Linked DNA regions of Schizosaccharomyces pombe. Changing the gene in region 2 together with the main gene of any one other region gives a genetic interaction. Each region holds a gene or a part of one and is shown on either strand. Other genes may lie near its edges.

Region 1 (4,065 bases), on a different chromosome or scaffold from region 2:
TGAAAAGCCACACAAAAAAATGAGATGTGTAAGGAAGACGCCCGCGTTTAATTTACTGGAATCAAATTGATGGGAAGAAGTACGCGAGAACAACAGAATCAAGTGTTTACGCGACAAAGAATGATATTTTTTTTAACCCTTTGACTTTATGCAAACAACTTCTTTCTATTTATTATTTTTTTTTTAGAGTCTTAATCCACCTTAGTTCTACTGCATTTAACAATTTCATTTTTAGTTTCAAATTTCTAAATATGTATTTCTATTTTGAGCTCTTATAACAAATGCTCACATGGTCCAGTGGTTAAGACTCATCGTTGTGGCCGATGCGACCCAGGTTCGATTCCTGGTGTGGGCACTTACTATTAAATTTATTTTTGCTAATTCCTGCCCTCTAGTTGGCATCCCAAATAGATCCATTTGAATAAAGATGAACACTTAACTAGAAAAGTAAAACAACCTTTCAACCTAATACTGCTGTACAAAGCGCTTTTATTATTCAGCCAGTATTTATGTATTACCTTTGCGCACAAAATAATTCGTTTACATGTCAACCACAGTAGATATACGTTAATTTTTTAATTTTATTTTTTCTTCTAGCAACCAAAGCACTTTAATAAAATTGAATATTTTTAAAAGCGTTTTCAATTTTTATGCTTTTTTTTTATCATAACAATATAAATTTCATCAAAATAAATATTTTATCGTTTTTTAAAGTACTGATGCCAGTTAAATGTCCGTATCGATTCGTAGAAAACAAAGTGCTTGGGTATAAAATAGTTTGATACGCAACCTCTAAAAATTGTCTAATGCAAAAATCCCACGTAAACGATGAGCCAAAAACTGAGAACTTAAAGCACGACACACATAAATAACTCTAAAGCTTCAAAACCAATGGGACAATGCAAAATGTTGATATGCAAAAGAAATGATGAAGTGAGGGAAAGCCTAGAGCTTCTATGTATTTTAAAAATACGCGCTCAGAAGAACTCAGCATAAAGTTGTCCCAGATGCCAGAGCATAATGTAAAAAGCACGAATGACAAATCTCGAATACAGTTAGACAGTGCAAATAAAATGCGATTGCAGAAAAGAAGTAAGAATAGTTGCGTGACACACCGAAACAAAAGTCCATATCATAAGAATAAAAGAATCGTAAAAAATATCCATCGTATTTCGAAAGAAATAAAAAATGCCATTACGAATTGACGAAAAAGTCCGAGTACCAAATCCACTCATACAATATCGTTATCATAGAAAATCATAAAAAACCCCAATGAAGCCAAACAAACATTGTAATGGAAACATACCATCAACATTGCGTGAACGAATTAAGTTGTACAACTCATGAAATAATGAAGTGCATAAACAAAATATACGCACCAACATCATTTGGAAATTTAAGATAGTATGTAAGGATGCTTGGCTATCAATTTAAGAAACATACACGGTATGAACCGCAAAAATCAATGATCAACTATTCACACACGGTTAGTGTAGTGATCATCATTTAAGAAAGGCATAAAAATTTTTAAGTATCATAATAATTTGAAAAAAAAAACTTCAAGTTATAAGAATTATAAAATAAAAATAGGTTTAAAAAAAGGCACAATTAAATATAAGTACCCATGAGAAATAAAAAATAAAATGGAACCGGAAGATAAAGAAATAAGTAAATAAATTTTCCCAGATTAAACAGGAGAAAATGAAAAAAAAAACCGAGATAGAGAGAAATGAAATATAATTTTTTTGAGCCGTTGGCAATGAATGTGTGTATATCAACGACACCGTCGTTGGAATAATGCAATGTAAGGTAAAATTAAAGAACAGCAAGTCTGGAAGCGACAAAACCGTTCAAAAGAGAAGACGAAGTGGATGGGGAAGGCATGGAAGACCTTCTTCGGAAATGATCTAAATATTGGGAAGATAACATATGAAGATCAGCCGACTTAGAGTAAGAACACTGCTCCGAAGTCGAACCACAGCCGGGGCAATCCTGCAGATGACATTCACGAGAGCAATACAAGTTGCCAGTAGTGGGTTTTCCGCAAATTATGCAATAATCCAAATCCATGTCTCTAACGAATACAAAAGGATGAAGAAATTAGAAAAAGAAAATTAAAATGACTTGTTAACGAGGAAAAACCAATGAATGAGCCAAGCTGAGGCGAGCTAGTATTGGATCCTATTGAAGAAAACCAGATAAAACGGATGAGCGTATAAAGCGGACTAAAAAGAAATTTCAAAGTCGAAATATACGGGACGTTTGGAAGATATTTCCGATTTAGTAGAGGAAGAAGAAAGAAAAGAACTTAGCTTCACAATAAAATAAAACAAATCCTTCTCAATTTCAAGGAAGAGATGAGTCCTGCGGGTGATTCAACAAGACGAAAAGAGGTTAGGATGGAGAAAACGAGGAAAAGTGAGTTCTACTCAATCACACAGCGAAACTGTTTGTCGAGGAAAACAAGAGACACTTAAGAAGGACAGTTCGTTTAGTTCAAGCAATCAAGAACAGCGAGTATAAGTCAAAAACCCTTTGCTGATCTATATGTTAATCTTCTACGACCTCTCAGTCGGACTGCTGCGCTCTATATATACATCTGAAAACTGCGCACGCAATCTGTCCAGATGATCTGACCTGAGATACCATACTATCGGTAAAATACGTTAAGAAAACAGCATACACTGTGTTTGATCTCATAATGCACATCCGACCGACTGCATATGCTAATACATTGCGTGAGTTGCGTACAATGTTACCTCTTCATAATTTGATTACAACACACAAGAGAAGAAAGCAGAACGACTGATGTGGGGGATTTGAGTCGGAAGTGGGAAACCGAGAAAAACACTGTGTGTACTAACTCGCATACTAAATGCACACACAAACGCTAGCTCAGCCGGGGTGTCATATACAATAGTAAAAACACACTACATTTTTTATTTTTTCATTTTAATTCTCGAATACTCTTCTACTCACTTTAAGCGACCTTTCGCATCATATTCTCCGCCTTTAAACCCCAAAAATACATGTGAGAAGACAGTTGTACGCCAGCTCACAACAACATGATGCTGATCGCACATCTTTGGACTGTAAAAAGAGGCACCGATGCAGTCAGTAGCGGAGCAAAATGGAGAACCATGGTGATGATGACTTTTTTTCAACGAGAGATTTAAGGCGATAGGTGGGGTCGAAATATAGCATGTATAAAGATGTGCAGGGCAGGGATGAAAAATTAAACTGACGGTTGGGAATGAATGAGAAAAAAAAGAAATTAGTTTAAATTATAATAAAATAGAATAAAATAAATGGAATTCAATAATAGAGAACTAGAGAAGTAAAAATAAAAAGAGAAAAAATAATAAAACAAAATTTACACATGATAGAGATATAAATATATTTCACTATTAGAGAATGGTTTTACTTTTATATATCTATTTATTTATTTATTTATTTTTTTTCGATTTCTAACGACAAAGTGCGAATCGTTTATTGATTATACATTGTATTTATGATAGTAGGTGAGCAAACAACCGGAACTCGAAAAATATTTGCGAAAACTTGCGTACAAAAAGATGAGTGAATTCTAATAAAATGAAATGACTGTGGCATGATTGATGTTTTGTTTCCCATGTCTCAATGAGTAGCATCAAAATTAATTTTACCTGTTGTCCTTGTGCGACACCCATAGCGGGAGAACTAGCTAAAAAAGAAGTGAAATCTCGTTGTTGTTTCACACATTGTCTTACAATTCCATGGAATGACTTGATTCTGAAGACGGTCGGAAGCAACTTTCTGCCTCGACCGGTAACGTAGAATTCACGTACCATTTACTTATACTCATGTAACCTTGTTGTAAGTGTTTGGGATCTTTGAATCTAACGTTCGCGGGATCTAGCACGTGTTACTCTGTAGTTTGCCACGAAGCAATAACTCCTCAGCAAAGAGCTAGGATGCAACACTCTGCCAACAGTAACAATCACCAACTGTAGTAGCTACTGGATCCGATCCCACCTGTGCTTCCTCTGTAGGTATGCAAAACATCCCACATAGGTACATCTATCC
Region 2 (5,602 bases):
TCCCCCAAGGAGGCACTAGCAAAAGTAATGACACGTTGGGGTCCATTGCTTGCAAAACTGACATTTAGCCATGAAGAGCAAGTTGACAACGTATTAACGCTGCAGAAGTACTGTGTCCGTTTGAGTATGACTCGGCACTTTTTACAACTTTTGGGATATTTCTACCAATTAGAAATTGCTGAAGAGAATGCCATTCAAGAATGGTATTCTGATCCCCGCTCTAGCGAAGGAGAATTGGCTGCGCTTCGTGATGCCGGTGGCAAACAATTTGTCGACTGGTTGAATACTGCTGAAAGTGAAAGCGAGAGTGAAGAAGGGTCAGAATAATAGTTCCCTTACAAATCCTGAACTCTGACTTAAAACAGTGTTATGAAAGTGGTTTCTGTCTACTCAAAAAAAAAGGGTCACTCATAATTTAGCTGGCTATTATTTTCTAGCAAATAATAATACGATAGAGAAGAAAAATAAAATTTTGGTCTACAGGGCGCGTTGTTAAAATCCAGCACTATTCTGTTAATTACACGCATAGTTATTTACGATAATATCAGTTGGACGAATTCAATATTTTTAGCTGAAATGTAAGAAATACAACAAGCGAATGAAGATAATATAATTTGAGCAAACCGAAGAAAATAGTGGCTAAAATACAATGCAAAAACTGAAAAGTTATATTGATTATGTCTCTTCTGTACATGTTTCTAGTTGTAGTTGATATGAAAGACAATTCCGACACTGTTTGGAATTTGTGGAATTTAAACAACTAGTCATGGGATATGAAAAGCCTTTCTTCGAAAAGAAAGCCTTAACTTGAACCCCAAAGAGAACATAGATACATAGACCAAAGATTAAACCTTTAACTAAATCAAACAGAAGTGATAGATAGTTTTTTATATAAAACAAAAGTAAAAGAGACCTGATAGTAAAAATAAGAAATATATAACATTAAGACTTTTCCATCAATGTGGATGCTGTAAGTCTGCTTGAATGGGATCCTGTAACATCTGTTGAGGATACATAGGAGCATCATTCTCTAAGTAAAATGTCACAGGAGCCTTATCGTCTTTAGCTTCTTTCGTGGAGGGAACATCAGACATATTAATTGAGTTATCCGCTTGTAAAAGATTCAAAAGTTGCTTTTTTAAAAGTTGAAGTAGAGTCAACTTTGTAAATGGCTTAACTAATAGATCTGTTACACCATGATTAAAGTAGGTAACTGCATCATTCATCGATATATTTGAAGTTATAGCCAAAATCGGTGTGTTATGATCGTATTGACGAATTAAACAGGTTACAGACAGTCCATCCAAATTAGGAAGTATAAAGTCCATTAAGATGAGATCGAATCCACCAGCATTAGCTTTATTTACGGCACCAATTCCATCGACAGCTACATCGACCTGGCAATCAAATGAAGTTAAAAATTTGATAGTCATTCTACGAGAAAGTTCATCATCTTCGACAAGTAAAATCCTTGGTTGCCGCTTCCACAAGCCAGTAGTTGGAACAGCAGCGCCCATTTGAGACATGGACGTTGCTACTGAACTAGCTTTGGCAAGGGAATCGTTTGAAATTTGAGAAAATGACTTTGCCATGGAAGCATTGGAGTCAAGATGGGTGGTAAAGCTTCCTGGATTTGGATGCTGAATCGGTTGAAATTTTTCGTACATCGGATATGAGCCATGGGCGTGTGGATTCAAAGAATGGTCATTAGATGATAAAGGGGTATTTAGAGAGGCGGCAGAGGCCATGGAGTCTGCCGGCTTTTCCTGATTTGCCAGTTCATAATCAGATGAAGGAGTATTATACAAAGAAGGTTGTGCTGTGCCAAGATTGGTGTCAACAGTCATCTTTGAAGAAGCGGTAGTAGCAGCGGAAGCCTGTTGAATTTGATTTGGTATCTGTTGTGGAGAAGTAGTTGCAACTTGGCCCTTCGCTAACGCTTGGTATGCATTTAATAACTCCTGGAGAGGATGAGAGGGAACAAACATGGCTCCGGGATTAGCTTGCCGTTGAGTAGATCCCTCTAAATCGCAGAGGTAAGATATGATGCTACTCATAAGCAAATCTCTAGACTCAATCCCCCGCTTGAGTTCAAACATTTTAAGAAGTATCGTTTGGTAACTTGTGGCAAGACCCGAAAGATTTCTATCAAGTAATTTTTGAAAGTCTAATATAGAATCCACCTGCTGTTTTAGGTTTTCAATAACTGGAGCAGTGTTCTCGTTAGCTAAATTGCGCTTGGACGGAGCCTTTCGCTTAATATTGTCGAGCAGGTCCTTATGATGAAGCTGAAAGTCGTCATGACGAAACTCCCAAGCCTAAAGAAGAGAATGATTAGTATAATAGAAATTCTAAAAGGAGGGATGGCTTTTTTACAAGTATGATGGAATGAAGACAAGTTTGTTTCTCAAACCTATTCAACAAGTATGAAGCCCCTAAATCCTTAACCCATATGACATACCCCTTCACCATATATACTCGGCGCGCCTTCTTCGTGCCGTACTTTGTGAAAATCATATCTAGACGATTAGCAAGTGTAAAAAAAAAATAAATAAATAAAAATATCTCATACTTGTTGAGTTGTCGGACAAAACTTGCAAAGTTACTATGTTTGAAGTGGCGAGGCAGAATGGTCTTTGTAAACTCGTTGGTCTAAAAAGCAGTAAGTTAGTGATAAACTCAGGGAAACAAAGGGGAAAGGGGAAAAAGGAATTTTGAATGCGGAAAAGTAGATTAGAGTGACAAAGAAAGGAGAAAAATGCAAACGTAAGAGAAAAAAAAACATAAGACTAGAAGAATAGCTAGTCAAAAGCCAAAGTTTAAAAAGAAGGTAAGGCCTAAAAATAAAATTGGTCTCTAAGAGATGTAAAAACTATTACTCAAAAAAGATGATGACAAGGAATAAGTCTGTTCGAAAAAATCGAGATGCAATGCGAAAAAAAAGGACAAAGTACTAGGGTATGGAAACAAAGCAAATTCGACGACTCAGGTTTACGGGCAAACTGGACGTTTTTCAGCGTAACATTGGTAATACTAAAAAGAAAACAACGAATAGAATTGTTTTATTTCAAAAAGAAAAGCGATTTTTGTAATAAAACAACCCGATTGTTGCGATAGGAATCTCTTGCTGCCTCAAAAGATTCCTTTCCCATCATTGTCAATCCTTTTTAATTCAAGTTGTAATCAGAAAGAAAAAGGAAACAAATCAAGAATAGTAAAAAAATTATTTTTTAGCAAACCTTCAAAAAAAATCTCCCCTCTTTTACTAGCTTTTCGAGGATAAACAATAAAAGTAGAATGCTTTCTCTGGTTAAATAACAACAATGGCGGCGATAAATATAATGATAACTCATTCTTCCTTTCTTCTCTCTTTTACATCCAGCAAACAAATTTTCAAGGATTTCTTACATCCAACACAATAAAAGAATCCCCAGAATCGCTCCAGCGCAGGATATGCCTATATTCGGGTTCTTCCAACATGTTGAAGAGTTTTCGCACCTAATTCAACAACGTTAGTATGAGAAAACATAGTTTTATCACGAAACGTGAAATTTTATAATTATAAAAAATTCATCGGAAAAAGGAACCAACATACAAAGTCGGAGGATCCGTTCGAAGACGGCATCTTCTCGTTTAATATATGACCAAACGGTCGTATTTACAAAAAATCTTCACCTTTTCAACAATGTTGTTGGTTGTTGGAGAGTTGCAAATTTTGAGGTGTGGTGGATATGACACCCTCGAGGCTTCCATGTGGCTATTTGCCGATGCTCACAAGGGCGTGTTAGCTTACGCAACGTTGGTTAAACGATGAACGGCAGGAGATCGGCAATGCAAATTCGACATATTTTTTAACGTTAATTGCAGCAAAAACTTCTCAATTAATGAACCCTCAAAAACAATGCGAAACCCGCATATTACTGTCTTTTTCACTACCCTCCAGAAAAGGGATCTTTCGTACTGATCTCTCTCCTTTACGGTGCTTGATTTGACTTGATGATGCTGTTCACCGATTGCGAAACGTTGCAAAGTTAAATCTAGTATAGTGCATACCATCGTACTGCATTATCCCAAACTCTTCCTGAACCGGCTAAAGCGCGCGGGGCTCCCTAGGCAGTCATCATCGCAGACGTAACGACCGTCCCACATACGTTTGTGCAAGCGTGCTGTGGGCACAGCAAGAATAAACACATGGGATGGATGACACAGTAATAAGGCTGAGTTGCTGCGGTTCTTGGTAGTGTATCGATGGTGCATGCGTGGAGTATGTAGAGCAAAAGGATCACTATGCGATATTTCCTTGGTATAAACGCTGACACGGGATTTTTTAAAAAGCATTTTTTTTTCGATCGTTTACGTTTCCTTTATTTTTTTTATTGGAATCCACTGTGCAATATGCTCGTTGAACCATTCAGAAAAGAGATGCTCTTTATGCATTCAACACAATTGACCTTGCTATAAGAATATCCAGCAGACGCTCTTACTTTGAATGCTCAAGTGTGTGTGCTGCGGTCTACCTTTGTGTACAGTAGTTTCAACGTTAAAGGACAAGTGATTAGCTATGGGAGCTTATCGCATATTATAAAAATGCATTGGAATTTGGGAATACACACCCAACTTTGTGTACCCACTACACCTTGCAGTGGATGATGATTTTTTTGTCAACATCGTGTGATGCCGGACCAGACAAAACTTTTGACGCATACAGATCGACCAGCAAAAGCGGAAATTGCCTGTTAAAAAGCACCGAATGACAAAGTTTGAATAAACGACGCCAGGACATTGATGGACGAGTCCCTTTTTCTATGAAAAGGAAAGCGAAATAAACCGATTCCTCACTTGCTGATTGTACTCAATTAAACGAGGCTTTTACATTATCAACAAAGGGAAACAAAATAAGAATTGAGAAAGAAAAAGAAGTCCCCTGATTCATTAGAAATGACCCCTGATCCCTTGGCTCGGTTTTCGAACAAGAGAATAGATACATGTTATGCTTATTTGAAATGCTTCATAAGATTATATAAACGAAATAAATATTCTCATAGAATCCCATTATAAAGTATTCATCCTTAGAATACGTAGTTATTGGATTAGAAGACAATGTATTGATTCGTTAAATATCTTTTGCATCAAAAAATTTCTCCGCTCGTAAAATTATAAAAAAGATGGCGAGCGATACGATAAGTGCAGAGATAAGGGTATGACGCTATTAGTGCTGACTCAGCTCCGCGGTTTATTATTACACTGGCAATAGCAATAGCAATAGCAATAGCATTACATCCATGACAGATTTAACATAGCAAGGATAAGGGGTGCCCTAAAAGTAATTTAGATATTGCATCGTTTTTCGTTAATGCAAATAGTAAAATATAATTAATTTACATTAAAGAAATAACAGCAACATCTTTTTTACTTTAAAAGTAATAACAAAACTGCACTTCCATTTTTAAAAGCAATAAGAAATGTTTGCGAAATCCCCTATTCATGGGATGAACGCGTCGACTAGTCCAGTCAATAAGTCAAACGACACACACTTGCAATATCTTTTAGCAAACATGATCTGTTGCACATTCCTAGCATTTGTCTTGAATTTCCCATCTGG

Evidence for each region.
Region 1: of prr1 (region 2) and ecl2, changing one suppresses a phenotype caused by changing the other (phenotypic suppression), as found in Schizosaccharomyces pombe (one study listed by BioGRID).

The regions. Positions count from the first base shown.
Region 1 is NC_003423.3:960,446-964,510, forward strand, and holds ecl2 (protein Ecl2), read right to left. Parts: upstream 2,071-4,065; coding exon 1,816-2,070; 3' UTR 562-1,815; downstream 1-561. Other genes in the region: SPOM_SPBP35G2.17 (uncharacterized protein), read right to left, coding at 3,510-3,830.
Region 2 is NC_003424.3:3,664,030-3,669,631, reverse strand, and holds prr1 (stress-responsive DNA-binding transcription factor Prr1), read right to left. Parts: upstream 3,701-5,602; 5' UTR 3,626-3,700; coding exon 3,596-3,625; intron 3,499-3,595; coding exon 3,409-3,498; intron 2,653-3,408; coding exon 2,573-2,652; intron 2,520-2,572; coding exon 2,462-2,519; intron 2,319-2,461; coding exon 957-2,318; 3' UTR 545-956; downstream 1-544. Other genes in the region: translation initiation factor eIF2B epsilon subunit tif225, read left to right, coding at 1-327. UniProt on the Schizosaccharomyces pombe protein: Involved in oxidative stress. Transcription factor that acts upon trr1 and ctt1.